2 linked regions of the Alligator mississippiensis genome follow. The protein of the gene in region 1 purifies or fractionates together with the protein of each later gene. This does not show direct contact. Links are inferred from orthologs where the notes say so. Each region holds a gene or a part of one and is shown on either strand. Other genes may lie near its edges. The genes, in order: MYO1E and OSTF1.

What was found.
Region 2: the proteins of MYO1E (region 1) and OSTF1 purify together in Homo sapiens (co-immunoprecipitation; 3 studies listed by BioGRID and IntAct, counting the BioPlex papers as one, with this or other methods). This does not show direct contact. The link is inferred for Alligator mississippiensis from reciprocal best matches to the Homo sapiens genes MYO1E and OSTF1.

The regions. Positions count from the first base shown.
Region 1 is NC_081834.1:38,484,612-38,492,425, forward strand, and holds the start of MYO1E (unconventional myosin-Ie), read left to right. Parts: upstream 1-4,633; 5' UTR 4,634-4,885; coding exon 4,886-4,888; intron 4,889-7,814. UniProt on the Homo sapiens protein: Actin-based motor molecule with ATPase activity. Unconventional myosins serve in intracellular movements. Their highly divergent tails bind to membranous compartments, which are then moved relative to actin filaments.
Region 2 is NC_081826.1:197,732,192-197,740,560, forward strand, and holds the start of OSTF1 (osteoclast-stimulating factor 1), read left to right. Parts: upstream 1-4,951; 5' UTR 4,952-5,076; coding exon 5,077-5,110; intron 5,111-8,369. Other genes in the region: NMRK1 (nicotinamide riboside kinase 1), read right to left, coding at 530-620, 1,031-1,092, 3,070-3,090.

The sequences.
Region 1 (7,814 bases):
CTAAATACATATAACAAATGAATTTCCATACTGGGTCAATACCAATGGTATACCTAGCCTAGTCCTGTGTCAGTACTAACTGCATCCAAACATTAAACAAAAAACAAACAAAAACAAACAAACAAAAATCCACCTCATAATGGAAAATTATTTAATAACTTTGCATAGGGTGGTGAGAAAGTTTCTTCCTAATCTCCAGTATTTTACCTTTCTAATCTCTTCAATATTCCCTAAAGGAAATAAACATAAATGCCAGGTACAAAACAAATATAAGAACACACACTATAAAATCCATATGAGACAAATGATACACACACAGAAGCAAACACGCACATACAATAATACACATTATTCTTTAGATTTTTGTGTAGTGTTATATCCATAACAGAAGTTAATGCAGAAAGAGCGACATTTTGTTGATTTTTTAACCTTTTATCTGTTGTATATAGTTTACATATTTTCTTTGTGTGAAATACTATGCAAACCAACTTTTATCCAGTTCTAGTAAAACTGTTGCTACTGTTCTACTCAAAACTGAAGTGTGAAGCTCAATTCCTATAAATTCTTGGTCACTTATAACTCTGTCAGATATACCTTTTATATTAATAGTAGTTTGAGATCATATTTACCATCCAACCATTTTTTCAGTTAAACTATTTTTCCCCCCAGTGCTAATGTCAAATGATGGCCAGGCATCCAATACACAAGTTTAATTTGGTCAGTAATGTAAGTAGAGCTGAGTTGAGGAAATGACGGTCTGATTTTTCAAAACCAAGCATGGATCTAATTCAAGGGAGCTATTCTACTTTATCCAAACCACCAACATTTGTGGGACTAAAGGAGAAGCCAGATAAATACAGTTTAAGTTTTGTCACATTTCTATAATGAACAAACCAGGGTGGTCTGGATTTTGCAACACCTCATCAGTCAGGTTTTATGTTTGCAAACCAGGGGTGGTTCAGACCTGCTTTGCAAGCCAAGATGTCGATCCTGCAATCTGATCCATTAAAGTACATTTGTTTACCTATAGGGAACTTTGCTGACTTTTGTCTACCCCATGGAACCAATTGCAAAATCAGAACACACACCAGACACCAGGAATAGCTCAGACTAGAGTCCTACTTCATCTAGCCAACCAAATATTTGTGAAGTTGGCCTTGGATAAATTATTCCATTATGGCTAATATCTAAATGATTGTGGAACTTAATTTTATTTAATAAGGAGTATCTGGTGGAAGCTCTGTATTTCTATTGACCATTGCCTGTTTCTGTTTTTCCTATTAACCATTGTTACCCACTATTCTTAACAGTCAGAGGTTAATTTGAAAAATACTAAATTGTTTGAAATGAGTAATAGCAGTGGGCACTGCCTTTTCAAAATGGTTTGGAAGGAATGCGTTACATGACTATACAGCTAACTAATTGTTAGAATACTATTTATTTCATTATTTACATTCTGATTTAGAAGCTGCACGTGAAATCCCATTCAACATGTTACTGGGACTCCTATGCCAAAAGCACTACCTGCAGAAATACCCACAGGATGAGGACCTTTGACTGTGGATTTTTGGGGATAGAGACTGTGCATTAATGGCTAACGGGACACAAGCATTGTATTATTTTAAGGAGAACAGTGACTAACAGCGTTTTTTTCTGGCCAAACCAAAGCAATAAAGAAAATTGTTTTGAGTTGACTTGAAATGAAGACTCTTAAGTTTTCTTGCAAAACAAATATATTAAAAAAAAAGAATTAAAAGTTTGGTTTGAACAAAATGTTTCAGTTAAACCAAAACAAAATGGTTTGTTTTTTAAACTTGTTAAATGTAATTCAGGCAATTTTGAAATGAAACAACATTTTCAAATGAAGTATCAACATGTTTTACTTCTAAAATATCAAAATGAAACATTAACGTTTTTCAAAGGCTACCCCCCCCCTTTTTTTTCCCCACCAAAAATATTGAATGAACTGACACAACTTTAGAAATGGCTTTGGTCAACCCAGATGTGCCTTTTCAGGCCAGTGAAATATTTGACCAAAAACTTTCACTCAATTCTGATTTCAAGGTGCTTCATCCTCTTCTCAACTCTTATGTAAGCTTTCTGCCAGGCATGAGACAGCAGTAACAAGGACCAAGTTCAATTAAGGTTTTACACAAATGTATTATCTTGGCTTGAGCCCCCACCCAGAAACCTGGGACAGTAAATTTTGCCTGGAGTACCCCCCCACCCCAGAAACCTGAGTAAATATATTCTGCCTGGGTGTTCAAAATGAACAAACTTCCCCACTTGCAAGCAATATTAAATGATGACAGGGTTTATTGAAGGGGGAAGGAAAATGGGACAACAGACAGACTTGGAAAACTCTCAGTAATCAGTAGCCCGCCTCAATCAACTATTAACAGTTTAGCCGTCAATATATTTAGTGTACACAGAGTGAACTTGGTAGGCAGTAGAGCTAGTGCAGTGGCTAACACAAGCTCTCCCTTGCTTCACCACTGCTGGGGGGCACTGCTCCTCTGCTGCATATAGGAGGGGGGTGTCGCATAGCAGGGACAAGCTTCAACCTGCTCCACCAGTAGTCTTAGCACTTCAGAAAACAAACAGAGAACAGGTCCCACCATAAACCCATTAAACATATTTAAACATCACCAGGGTTTTTCCCTGTCCAGCTACATTGCTAAATGCAATGGCATCCCTGGCAACCCCTCCTCCCACCCCCACCCCACAAAAAAAGAAACTCCTATCCAGAACGTCTCCTTCCTCTGAGGCATGAGCAGAGGGTCCCTCCACCTTAGACATTCACACAAATCATTGTGAGCACCGACCCCTCAGCAACCTTTACCCAATTTTCTCTTATAGCATCAGTGCTCTTACAAACTTTTGTTACAGCAGTGTAGGAGTGCTATTTTGGCTGTGATGGTCCAGAAATTGCACCAGAGACAAGGATTTCTTAGGGTGATCTCTCTTAATTGGGCCAACTATGTCAGGGGTTCCCAACCTTTTTGTGCTGCGGCCCGGCAAACTGTGGACCGGAAGTGGCCGTGGACCAGCAATCTGTGGACCACCACACAGAGCCCTGCAGCTGAAATTTCCAGCTGGAACACAGGTAAAAATACTTCCACCTGCCGGGTGGGGAGGCAGGCCAAATGTCAACCATGGTTGCCATGGGCCCTGCGGGAGGAGTCGCGGCCTCTCTGCCTGGCTCTGCGGGGCTGCGGTTTGCCGGTCCGCAGTCACTTCTGGTCCAGCAGCCATCCGTCCTGCGGATCAGCAGCTGACCCTTCGCGACCACAGCCCGGGGATTGGGAACCCCTGAACTATGTCACTGGGATAAAGTGAGACAAGCTTTCCAGTGCAAGAGGTTCTTTTCTAAGAATGCCTTGTACTGGAAAGCTTGTCTCACTTTATCCCAATAACATAGCTACTCCAGTTAAAGAGATCACCCTTAGAAATCTTTGCTGCTCTTTATAAATGTTACCATTTTAGGAGGCAGGGCCAGTGTGCACACACCCAACTCCCCTGGTCTCTTTGGGTGCAGACAGAAGTGACAATTTTCACCAGATCTGTCGACAGAAAGCAGTTTATAGCTGTGACCAAACAAGCGCATGGCTACAGACAGCTTAAAAAATGGCCAATCTGGTGAAAATCTGACCCTGCATTGCACGAGTTACAGCTGGGAGCTGCACTTCTGTTTGTTAAAAGCATGTTAGCACAGTCAAAATAAGCAAAAAGCATTCCCACTTCTCTCACCGGTACATAATAATAGAGATATGCAGGTAGCTCTGGCCTGACATCTCGCTGTGGCCAGAGGAAGCTATTGAAAAAAATAAGCTTTATCAAGGTCAAATCAGTTCAAAATGCAATTGGGCAAATCCTACGAGTCAAGTTTCAAAACTCAAGTGAGCAGAGCTCAATCCTCAAGTTTGGATGGCTTTGGCGGGGCGAGCGTCCTCCCTCCCAGCCCCATCCCTCTGGGGCTTGGCTTCTCCCCAGATCCAGGCAGGTGTGCTGCCAGCCCCAGGCCCCGAGGCCTCGGGGTTCAGATGCCCCGGTCTCCTTTCATCTTAGACACCTAGGAGGTCAGGCTGCAGGCAGGCCTCGGGGGGACGCAGTGATGGTGACATGAAGAGCTGGGAGGAGCTGGCTGCCAACCCACCCCAGTGGCGCTGCCACCTCTGTTTGCGTCTTTGGCCCAGAGGGCGGAGGAGGGAAGGAGATGGTCTAGCTGGAGCTGGCCGTGCTCTGAGGGGGGCTGGACACGAGATGACCCCGGGAGGTGCCCTCCAGCCCTCCTTCCCTATTCCCCTCCGAGCCCAGCCTGCAACCCCCTCTCCCCAGCGCGACCCACAACTTCCCGGGCCGGGCCCGTGCTCCAGACCTGCCCCAGCCCCAGCCCCAGCCCCAGGGAGCGCGCGGGGACTCGCCCGCCCGCCCGGGGCCAGGGCTGCGCGCAGGGACCTGCCTCCCGGGCGGCCTCCGCGGGCGGGGGCGGCTGCAGCCCCCGGGGGCACCTGGCAGCCCGGTGCCGCCCGGGGGAGCAGCGCGGGGCCGGGCCGGGCCGGGCCGGGCCGGGACTACAAGGCCCAGCGGCCCCGGGAGCCGCTCCCGCTGCCAGGAGCTCCCTGAGGAATGACGCCGCCGCGCCCGCCCGCCCCTCGGCCGGCCCGATCTCCATTTATGGACACATCGCCCCGTGCGCGGGTCGCCGAGGTGTGCGGGGAGCGGCCGGCGCAGCCCGTTCCCGCCCCTGCTCCCGCCGCCAACAGCGCCACCGCCGCTGCCCGCATGGGGCCCGCGCCGCGCCGCTGAGCCGGCTCCGCTGCCCTGCGCCTCGCGCCCGCCGACCAGGCGACCCCCGCGCCCAGCCGCCGCCGCCGCCGCAGCCATGGTAAGTGTCCCGGGGCCGCCGGCTGACAGCGTCCCCTGGGGGCTCGGGGCAGCCCGCCGGCCGGGCCGGGGGCAGGGGCAGGGGCAGGGGCAGGGCCGAGCCGGTCCGCGCCGCGTCGCGCCGAGCCAGCGGGCACAGCCCCAGAGCAGAAGCCCGCGCTGTGCTGCCGCCTGGCTCGGGGCCGCCGGGAGGGGCCGCCGCCTCGGCCACGCAGCAGCTCCCGTAGCCGTGCGTGTGCGTGTGTGAATCCTGGAGAAGTGTGTGGCGGGGTGTGTGTCTCGTGTGTGTATCTGGGCACAGTTGCCCTCAGCCACGCAACGACTCGTGGAGAAGCGGGCGCCCAAGCCCGGGCTCCGCCGCTCCCCCGCGAGAGGGTCTGGCTGAGGGGCGCGAGCCCGCGTGTCTGCATCGTGGCGCCCGCCCGCGCGCGCGTCTTCGGGGGTGTCCCACACGTAGACATCCGCAGGCGAGGTTCTTTGGGTAAAGCCGGTGTCTTTTATGAGACCAACTCAAATAGTTGCACATTTTTTTTGCAAGCTTTTGGGCACAAAACACCCTTCGTCAGGCTGAGGAGGCATCTGCAGATTTAGACACCCCCCTTCTCCCCCCCCCACACACACACTTTTGGGGTTTATGGCTTCCCAGATTTATGATTTTGGGGCCAAACTCTTTTCTGTCCTTGGGTGTTTTTGGGGTGTGTGTCTATGTATGTGTGTGTTGGTTGGTTGGTTTTAATGAAAAGTCTGAACTTTCCCCAAAGGTCCTATTTTGCATCCCTCCAGCCTGACTGGAGAGGAACGTGCAAACACAATGTACAGTGTAATGTACAGCGCAGAGGAGATATAGCGGTGACCCTCTTTACCTGACGGGTTTAAGGATCTGTGAAAGCTGGGGCTTCCAGATTAGAAACACAGCGGGCCAGTTCATCCTTCCTGTGATTGCACGGACCCTAGCAGTGAGTGCAGCCCAGTGCACAGCTGTCCCCTCATAAAAGTGGCAAGAAGTACTGTGGTTCCTGAGGAAGGAGACTAGACTTCTCTACATGTTTACAACATTACAGTACTTTTTCAATTTTGTAACAAGTGTGGGGAAAACAACTCCATAGCCAACATGGATGTTTTATGATGACTTAGACTCTTTTTATTAAGAAACTTAAGTCCTTATGAGGCTCCTAAGTTGCATGGAATTGTTGTAACAGAGCTGGGACTTCCCTTCGGACTAGCTTTACTCAAGCAGAATGGATGGAGTTAGTCACATTTCCCTCCAATTAGCATTGCTGTTCTTGTTTTGGTTCTCTCACTGTGCGCAGCGTTGTACAGAGGCTGATCGCAGGGCTCCTGAAACAGGACTCTGTAGTCCCAGTTAGTCCTACTGAAAGGAATATTGTATTTCTTGAATGTTCACGTCGGGCTCCATCCTGCAAGGTGCTGAACATGGTCTTGATCCAACACAGTAGTTAAGCACACCACTGATTCTGTAAAGTGTGCCTGACATCACTGCATCCGAAACTGTATGTAGTCTGACTCCTTACGACCTTTTTACAAGGAATGATGATGCTTCTTGCAGCATAGGCTGTCTTGGTGGTAGTCACAGTTGCATCATATCATGCCTTTCTCTCTCCATTTAAATTTATTTTCATATCACTGTGATCAAGGCTTTTAGAACATAGCAAGACGAATTGCTCCATTTTTTTCTGTTGTCAAATCAAGTGAGAACCTAAGAGCTGACATTTTACAAGCAGGGCTCAAGCTAACAGGGTTGACAGCCACTGGACTAAGGAGATGCACCATCATCACTAATCCAGCTCTGAGCGGCATTGGAGTGGATCTGCGAGGTTTTGTTATGGGTGTAAGGTTTTGAAAATGGGTTAAAGGTTTTGAAGAAGGGGATGATAGATGGTGTGTGTGTGTGTATATTTATAGACATATTTTTACAAAAAAACCCCTAAAAGATTTAAACTGTTTTGTTTTATGTGGTATACTTTTTTACTATATTGAACCACACTGAGTGGCAGGCATTAATTATGGAAGGGGGGTGTGTGTTCTTGCCATGAATTATAATAACATCTTTCATAATAATTTCAACCACCTAACATGACACAGTAGTTGAGGACTGAAATGAAAAAAAGAAATCCTGATAGAATGGACCAAATCTCATGGCCCCCCCCCCCAAATTAGCTAATTGCAAAAAGCTTGCCTGTGAAATTCAGTTTGAAAAAATGTATCAGTTATGAATCTGAGCATGCGCCTGTTAAAACTTGAGTTTATTCTAGAAGTCTTAATTTACTATTGTCCTGTTTTATACTACATGAATTCATGAGCTTTTTAAGAAGCTATGTGGCCAGAAAGCAGCAGAGATGCCCAATGCAAGTCTTTACTATAGTACTGAATTGAATAAGTTATTCAGCTTCTAGTAGCCACCTGCAGTTCACTTAGTATTGATTTAGTGTAAGTAAATATGTTCTGGAACAGCATAATATGAAGCTTACACTACTTGTCTCATAATAGTTGGAGACATGTTTTCATAAGGATTTGTGAAAGCTCTTTTCATCAGAGTACGGGTTTTAACCATAACTTTGAACATTATGTTACTTTTGTAAGAAATATGTTATCATTATTGTGTCTTTCATTTTCAGTAGCTATTAATGCTTTCTTTGTTAGAGTTAATTTTTTGAATATTATTTTAGTAGCTTTATTAATTTTGATGACAGAGCCTTGACATTTTATATAACACAGGAAGGGTTTCATAGAGTTTAGATGTCTTACATTGAAAAATTAAAGTTTACAACAGCTGAACATGTTAAATATTTCAAACAAACTTTTACAGATTAATTAAAACTTTGTAGTGAAAGTTTATTTCAATTAGAGGATCTGACAATTTGAAAGAGTGTGTTACTTGTACTTTTAACATATATTATTCTTCATAA
Region 2 (8,369 bases), on another chromosome or scaffold:
CCTGGGTTGTCGGAGGACTACAAATTGCTGGCTTTATCTCCATGGAGCAGACTGAAGTTACCCCAACACTGGCTAGGTAGCACAGCCCAAAGTAACACTCACCAGAAGCGGTGGAAGTTTGACAGGAGGGCATTTAGCATGAGTTTTAAACATAGCATTTTAGACCTTAGTATGATCTAAGGGTAATGTGTAACTTCATTCCTGGATGCCATTTTTGTTTGTAATTGTTTTCTATCTAAAGTTACGCATAAATGCAAAAAAACCCCAAACAGAACCGAATTACCAGGAAGCAGTTTAAAAAATTCATATACTCTATTCCTATTCCTGATCTTGAAACAGACCAAAGAATACAGTCAGATTGTTTCTCTCTTGGTCACACAGCAAATCGATTCTGGCAACTGAAGCATCCCAGCAGTATTACAGTGCAGTTGATTTACCACTCTAACTTACAAATCCTATTAATAGTTTTGCAGCAACTACATTTTCAAGTCTATTTTTATGCACAAAGTCTTTCTGTATATGCTGTTACCTTAAAGAAGTCATCTTGGTAGATTATACTGCAATTTGGAAGCAGTTTCTTAAGCTTTTCTGCCAGTGTTGTTTTCCCCCCATTTGTCACACTGAGTTAAAGAACAGAATAAAGGCTATGTCAGGACAGAAAAAAAAAATCAGGAACAAAGCATGCATCAAAAATAAAGCCACTGCCAAAACGTAATTTTATTCACAATGCTGATCATGCCTGCATGGCTCCCAGTCATTTGTCTGGATATTCTGACAGCTTTCAACCAATGTGCAAGAGAATGGCATAGGGAAGATCAGAGCTGATGTCCCAAAGGGTTGATTTATGATGGAGGTAGGGACAAGATGCAAAAAAATTGCATGCAATACTAGTGACAAGTGTTAAGATCATACTTTTAATTCCTTCTCTGATAACAACATATTCATATACAGACAGGCACTTGTAGACTTCATCTCGAAGCTTGAAGAAATCTCACATTTTTGCTTTAGAATTTAAACTTTTTGTACTTACCCTCCAAGGCCAACAACCAGTTTCATAATTAGTATTCTATCCACTTCCTTTCTTCCAACCGTCTAAAACAAGAACAGTCAGTGAACACACCTACTTTGGCAATGATAAAAGCAATTGCTACAAGGGGAAAAAGCAATTAATGTAAAAGGCCCTTTTATCTTTTTAAACTCTACCACTGCTACACACACATCTTCAGAACTTCCAATGTCTTAACTGAAAAAAAAAAAAAATCAAATTACAGTGCATTACATCATATATACCGTTTTTGACAACCTTTTTTCCTTTTACTTATTTATAGTCCTATAAGACTCAGACCTACAACTCCTTCCTGCTGCTTAGCTCAATAAGTTTTTGTAAGATCAAGCCCTTAGAAGTAAATTACAAGAGCAGAGAAATGGGTTACTGTCTTGTTTTATATAGGTAAAAAGACTGAGTTCCTCATTTCTCCCCACAGACTTATTTTGTAGTATCAGACACGTCACTTTTCTGTTCCCCAGTTCTCCCGATTGGTAAAATAAAATCCTATCTACTCATTTCAAGATCTGGAGACTGACACTGAGCTGAGACAGTACCTATTAACTTTGTAATTGGAGTTCAACATTTCTGAAAATAAATACATCTATGTTTGCTAAGACCTTTAAGAATCTCAGACAGCATTATAAATGTTTAAAGGATTAATATTTTCAATTGAGAGAAAAGGCAACATTGCTTTAAGAGGAGGCAGACAGATGTACATGGTGGTTGTCTGGCCTATCCAAATGCAAATATTTTCAAATAAATATGAGTTCTGGACTTTGTTCTAAAGAATTAACCTTTGTTGCACAAAAAAGCATTAACCGACAAATTAGGTAACACTGATACATACTGTGAAGGGTTTTGAACTCTCTAATTTACGTCACTGTCCATCTCCAGTGTAATCGTAGCTTAAGAAAAATTCCAGAATAAACAAAAAGAAGAAACAAACAGCTTGTGGAGCCACATGGGTGGATGGCAGTATTACACCATAGAATTTCAGTATAACAAGGCTCAGGTTGGCTTGTGTAAGTAAGACCAAAACTTGTTTATAGTCATATTATAGACCTGTAACAGGTATGTAGAGCTCAAGTCTGCACATGATCTAGTAATAATTCTACAACATAGTTATGGCCAGATCACATTATCTCTACACAGAGTAGACCAAACTAGTTTAATAAAACAATCACTCTAAGATGCTTTCGCATGTGTAGATGGCAGCAGTAATGCAATCAGATGCTGTGGCCTGAAACAGTAAGTTTGATACTTGTGCTACAGTGCAGACCACATCAACCACATCTCACTGGAGTCAAATTCTGAAACGCTTTGCATTAGAACATTTTTACATGCTAAATTACAAGCACACACTGAAAACAAACTTAAAAATAATTTTAAAATATTTAAATTTAATTATAGATCTAAGATTTGGGGATGAATTTTGAAGTGGGGTGCCAGGTGTTGGGAAGGGTAATATATTTTTTGGTTCATCTTTGAAAGCAAAAAGTCTTTACAGTATTTTCTATTTTTTTCCAATAGGATAGTGATAATTTTGGACACACCACAACACAAAAGTGCTTGGTCTAGATACAGAATAAACTGTGCCATGCTTCTTCAAATGGCCTGAAGACAAAACACAGCCATATGACCAACTAAATAAAAATACACCCCCTTTTGGACAATGTTAGGCAGCGCTCCTGCACTCTGATGCACAGGGTGGACCCATGTGATTGCATTACTAAACTCAATTAACCCCATGCAGGGGTATATCCATGCATGGCATTTTTCAGGATCATGGACCTATTTGGCATCTACTCAAGTGCTGCACATCTAAATAAAGTACCTCCAGTACCAGGGGTCCTGGGGTTTTAAATGCTTGCTATACAAATTCTAAAGTAAATTTAGTTATAAGGGTCTTCACATAGGCAATTCTTCTTACACACATATACACACGCACAACTGGAGACCGGTAAAAGGCAACAGGCCAGTGAAGACACTGACATTTAAAGGTATGCTCAGAGCCAGCTTACCACAAGTTGTGAGTCTTGCATGACCCCAAGAACAAGACAGACAATGCTAACCACAGCCAGCCCTGTGGGTACAGTTACACGACATGTTACACTTCAACAGTACTAAAGGCACTTAAAGCCTCTGCGCATTAAAGCTTGTTAGTGCCCTCAATGTTACACCACTTCAGAAGAGGATTAACCCTGGGCTGTGCTACCTAGATTGTGTCAGGGTAACTCCCATCTGATCCACAGAGATAAAATGAGCAATTTTGCAGTCCTCCAACATCCCAGAATGCACTGCTCCCTACCGCCAGCAAGGGACAAAGCCCAGGTGGCCTGGCTCTTAGCCACACCCCTGCTCGCCTGCCCTCTGGTGGCATATCCTAGCTGCACAGGCAACAAATGACGTTAACTCTCAACAGGAGACAGCTCACGGCACCTTCTAGGTGTTCCCCACCTAACATCCCAAAAGTGCCATAGGGTCCAAGGGCCAGGCCACCTGGATCAGTGGGTCTCAACTTTTTTTGTACCAGGACCCATTTGTAAAAATCAATGTCCAGTCCTGACCCAGTGCCCCTCACTCTGGACCTGCCGCCCCCTCATGTGGGGCAGGAGGCGGGGTGGTTTGTAGGTTGTGGGAAGCCCCAAGCAGCCCCTTGCACGCTGGAACTCTGCCAGCCTCCAAGGGGAAAACCCAGAGTTTCCTAGGTTTTTCTCCTTTAAAGGAGAACCCATTTTTAAAGTCGGCTTGCGACCATTTCATATATTCTTGCAACCCACTTTTTAATTTTTTTGTGGAAGATTTTTAATGTTCTAGGCCAGATCAGTTCTGACTCCTTTTGACTGAGCAAAACTCATAGTTTAAACACCATATGTGGCACAGCAACCAGCATTTATCCTCCACCCGACTTCACAGCCTAGGGCTTCAGATACTTCCAAATCCAAATCCAAATCCATTGGTAGGCGACCTATGTGCAGACCCAAGCCCAGAGGCTTGGGGTTCAGATGCCCCCCCAAGCCTCGCTTGCATGCATTAGAAAGCTAGGGAGAGGTGCCCCAATTCCATAAAGTAGGTGCATAGCCGAGGTCGTCCTGCTGGAAACTGGCCAGTTGGAAGCCAATTACAAGGTGTCCTGTCCACAGTGCATTTGGACAAGGGTGCCCCCTCCGCCACACAATGCCCTTTATTTAAATCCATTTCAGCTCCGGTACCGCACCAGTGCAGCGAGTACACTTGATCTTAACCACCAAGAAGGTCGCGCCCCACGGGTTGGGAAACGCCGCCCTGGCTGATACCCTCCCGCGGAGGCCGGCAGCTTTCCATCAGGTTCCAGGGTCCCGGATCTGGACAGCGCTGCACACAGGCTCAGCTCCCCCCTCCCCTCCTGCTGCCCACCCGCCAGCCCCTCACGCCCAGCGTGGGCAAGCACCCACCGCTCAACGCGGGGCAGCTCCACCAGGCGCCAGGCGGCCTCCCCCGCGATGCCCCACACAGTCCCCGGGGCCCGCCTGCAGCCTTGCACGGAATCACCCTCCCGCGCTGCGTCAGGAACCCACCGCCCCGATTGTAACGCAGCGCTGCAGAGCTCCACCCCCGCCCCATTTCCATTGTGACGCACACAATTGAATCCCACCCCCACTAAGACACTACGCCACACTGCCCTCCCCCTACTGCGGCCGGAGCCCCAGCCCCACCCCCACTCCCTGACGTGTAAGACCTGGTCCCGCCCACTGGTGAAGGGAGGGGGGAGAAGAGGAGCAAGGGGGCGAGGCCTCCGTGACCCCGCCCACCCTGTAGCCATTGGCTACGTTCGTCCTCCGCCCCGGCGGGGATTGGCTGCTGCCTTCCCTCCCTGGCTTCCCGGTCCCCGCTTGCAGCGCCCCACGGCCGCCTGCAGGTGGAGCCCGCGCGCGGGGTCGCCGAGCCTCGCACTTCCTCGTCGCTGCCGCCCAAAGGGAGCCCAGCGCCCCGCGCCCCTTCGCGCAGCGCTAGCAGCACCGCCGGGTGGGGCGGCCAGAGTCGCAGCCATGTCCAAGCCGCCGCCGAAACCGGCCAAGCCAGGTAGGGGTAGGGCAGAGCCGCAATGACACGTGGGCACCCGCGGGAGGGGGATCCCGGCGGCCGTGACCGCTCCGGGTTGACCCCCCCAGTCTCTGCCTCCACCTGAATGACACTGGGGTTAAACCGGGGAGCCGCTGCTAAGGCAGCCACTAACCCTTGCCCTGCAGAAACGAGAGCCGGGTGGGGGTGGGGCTGTGGCAAACGCAGGGGCAGAAGGCAGGAGCTGGCAGGAGTAGAAAAGAGCTGCTACCTAGCCCTCCTGCACCCGCTTCAGAGGCTGGAGGTGAAGGTGCAAGAAACCACCCTATGCTGAGGCCTGGCCCAGTGAGGGGCTGCCTAGTGGCTTTGACTTACTGCTTCCTGGAAGGCAGCAGCCAATGTCCTTCTCCCCATTTTACAGGTGGGGAAAATGGAGGCAGCAGCTGCCTAGTACGGACCAATGCAGCCCAGGCTGCGGGAGTCAGAGTCTAGGACTCTGATGCCTACGTAATGCTGCCCTCCCACAGATAGAGCTAGGCCTGCTCCCTAACCTATCCTCTCACGCCACACAAAATGTTACCCAGGAGAATATATTGGAAGCATTTTTATAGAAGCAGGAAGGTTGCGCCAGCGTTCCCACTAAGCTGCAAACAAAATATATATATTTATATAAAAAAATAAAAAATCATGCTGTGCACACAGTGGCGTACCGATGAGGCACCCAGTGCCATAGCAAGGGGGCACCAACACTCCCCCTGTTGCTGGCTTCGTGTCTGGCCACTCGCCCCCCGCCCTAACCCGGCCACAGGCTACTGTAGGAGGGAGGTGGGGCAGGCACACTGAAGGAACAGTGGTGGCGTGAATGGTTCCCCTGCTTTACATGTGGCAGGTGAAGGGGTTAGGTCTGTGTTGTGGCAAGGTTGAAAGTCATGCAGAAGTTAGATGTTGAACTGTACAGGTTTGGATAGGGATGATCCTGCCTCAGGCAGGGGGTTGGGCTAGATCAGGGGCGGGCACCTTATTTCAGGTGGAGGGCTACTTACCCAGTTTTGGCAAGATGTTGAGGGCCCCATTTCTCTCTCCGGCACAAGGAAGCAGGAACAGCCCCACAGTCCCAGGCCAGAAGCCTCTGCTAGACAGGGGCTTCTGGTTGGGGGGGTAGAGCTAGGTGGGTCTTGCTGCTGCATCCCACTGCTGGCTTCCCCTGGGTCCTACTGCCCCTGGACCTTGATATCTTTGACAAGCAGCCAGGAGCAAACGTATATTAAATTTTCTAGGGGGCCCACGGGCCAGATAGAATGGGCTGGCAAGCTGGATGCTCCCGCACTGTATTTTGCCCACCCCTGGACTCAATGATCTCTAGGAGTCCCGACTTCTCTATAATTCTATGAAGCATAAGGCTTCTGTCTTTCCTAGTAACTACCAGGTTGTTGAGTGTGTTATACGGCTTCTTTTTGAGGCCAGGAAAGTTGCTGGTCCAGTTGCACTGAGTTCTCTCTTCTCTGCTTTTTCAGAGCATTTCTTTTGATCTTTTAAAATTCTTTTCTGTCCTTTTTTTTGTCCAACATGCGCTTGTTCTTGTGTTAGGAGATGGAGAATGGGGATGGTTCTGCTTTGAGCAGGGGGTTGGATTAGGTGACTGCCCGAGGTCCCTTCCAACCCTCATTTTCTATGATTCTAATGGAAACTTCTCCCATTCACCTCAGTGGGAAGATGGATCAGGAGGTAGTCCTGCAGTTGCTACAAAAATTGAGCATAAACACCTAAGCAAGGACTAATTTTATGAATATTCATTTGCAGCATGTCTTTTAATGTGCTCTCTGCTAAAGCATAGAGATGCACAAATAGGGCATGCAAAACATACTTGGATTTGCCCTCTGATATCAAACAATAGCAGTATTTTTATGTATAAGCAAGCTTTATTCACAAATTTCCAGGTTTTCTACTTTCATTCTTTCCTCCATGCCCCCTTGTAGCTCTCCAGCCAGAAGTGCCCCATGCCTCCCACATCTTTTTTTATTTACGTTTTGTTGCTTAAATGCACACACTCACCGAAGCTTCCCCAGCACCTCTCAGGCTTCCCTGCCCCTTTGAACACCGTACATGACCCTAGTTTCCCTTGCATCTATGGAGGATTAGTTCAACATTTATTTAGTGCAACAAAATTAACAGAATTGAAAGCAATAGCTAGATAGAGAGACTTTAAAAATAGAGTGCTCCATCAGTAGAGTCTGAAGAAAAACATTTCCTTATCCGAAAGCTGTAGAAAGAACTACCCTGTGTCAGAGAGGCAGTTTCCCAGGCTCTTTAAAGGATAGTTTAGCCTGGGTGTAAAAAAGAGGCAAAGCAAGGAGGAGCAGGCCAGTGGATGCAGCAGCTACTTTTTTTTTGTTGTTGTTGTTGTTAGGGGCACATACCCATTTAGAACAATAAAAGTTTGTACCTATTTTTTTGTGCAGAGGGGGAGACGTTGTGGGCTTCTGTGAAATAAATCATAGTATATAGCAATGGGGGCCAAACTCCTGGCAGGCATACTACCAATTAGTCCCTCATCATCCCTGAGCCTCCAATCCCTTTATCATGCCCAATCTGCTGCACTGCTTTTTGCTCCGTTCCTGTGCGGCCTGTTCTCTTTCCCGCCCTGCCGCATAGCACGGAGAGACTGCTTGTGCAGCCATTTTTCACTGTCTACTTTGTAACTTAATTATAGTCTGATTAATTATCCACTAACTGTATTTGTCCACATTGTAACCAGCTGCGCCAGAGCAATGAAAAAGGAAACCACTGTCAAAGTGCAGCTAGTACAAACCTTGAAAATGAAAGGAACTAGTCAGTTTTGGGGCTGCTAATACCACAGTAGTGACAGGGCTGTGCACTTGAGAAGTATAGAAGTATTGCTTATATTAAAAGATCAAGTGAATGCATACCCTCTTTTCACTTCAGAGACTATGCACTTAAAACAGACAATGTTGTATGTCTAAGCTTTGCTGGAGTGTAGAGAAATCCAGTCAAACTTGGATTTCCCAGGTACCTGAAGCAGTCTATCCACAGTAAGCTAGCTCATGTAGAACTAGCTCACGGTCACAGTGTAACCGTATTCATTATAACTTTCAGTTTTAACAACTAAAGACAAAGCCTAAAATGCAGCCTACACACAAGATTTTTGGTGTAGCTGCTTGGGCAGCTATATATGCTGTTAACAACATAGGGATTCAACCTCTTATCTACATGCAAAACCCAACTTTAGTGTCAGTTATGGTGATGTGAGCAGTACTTTTCT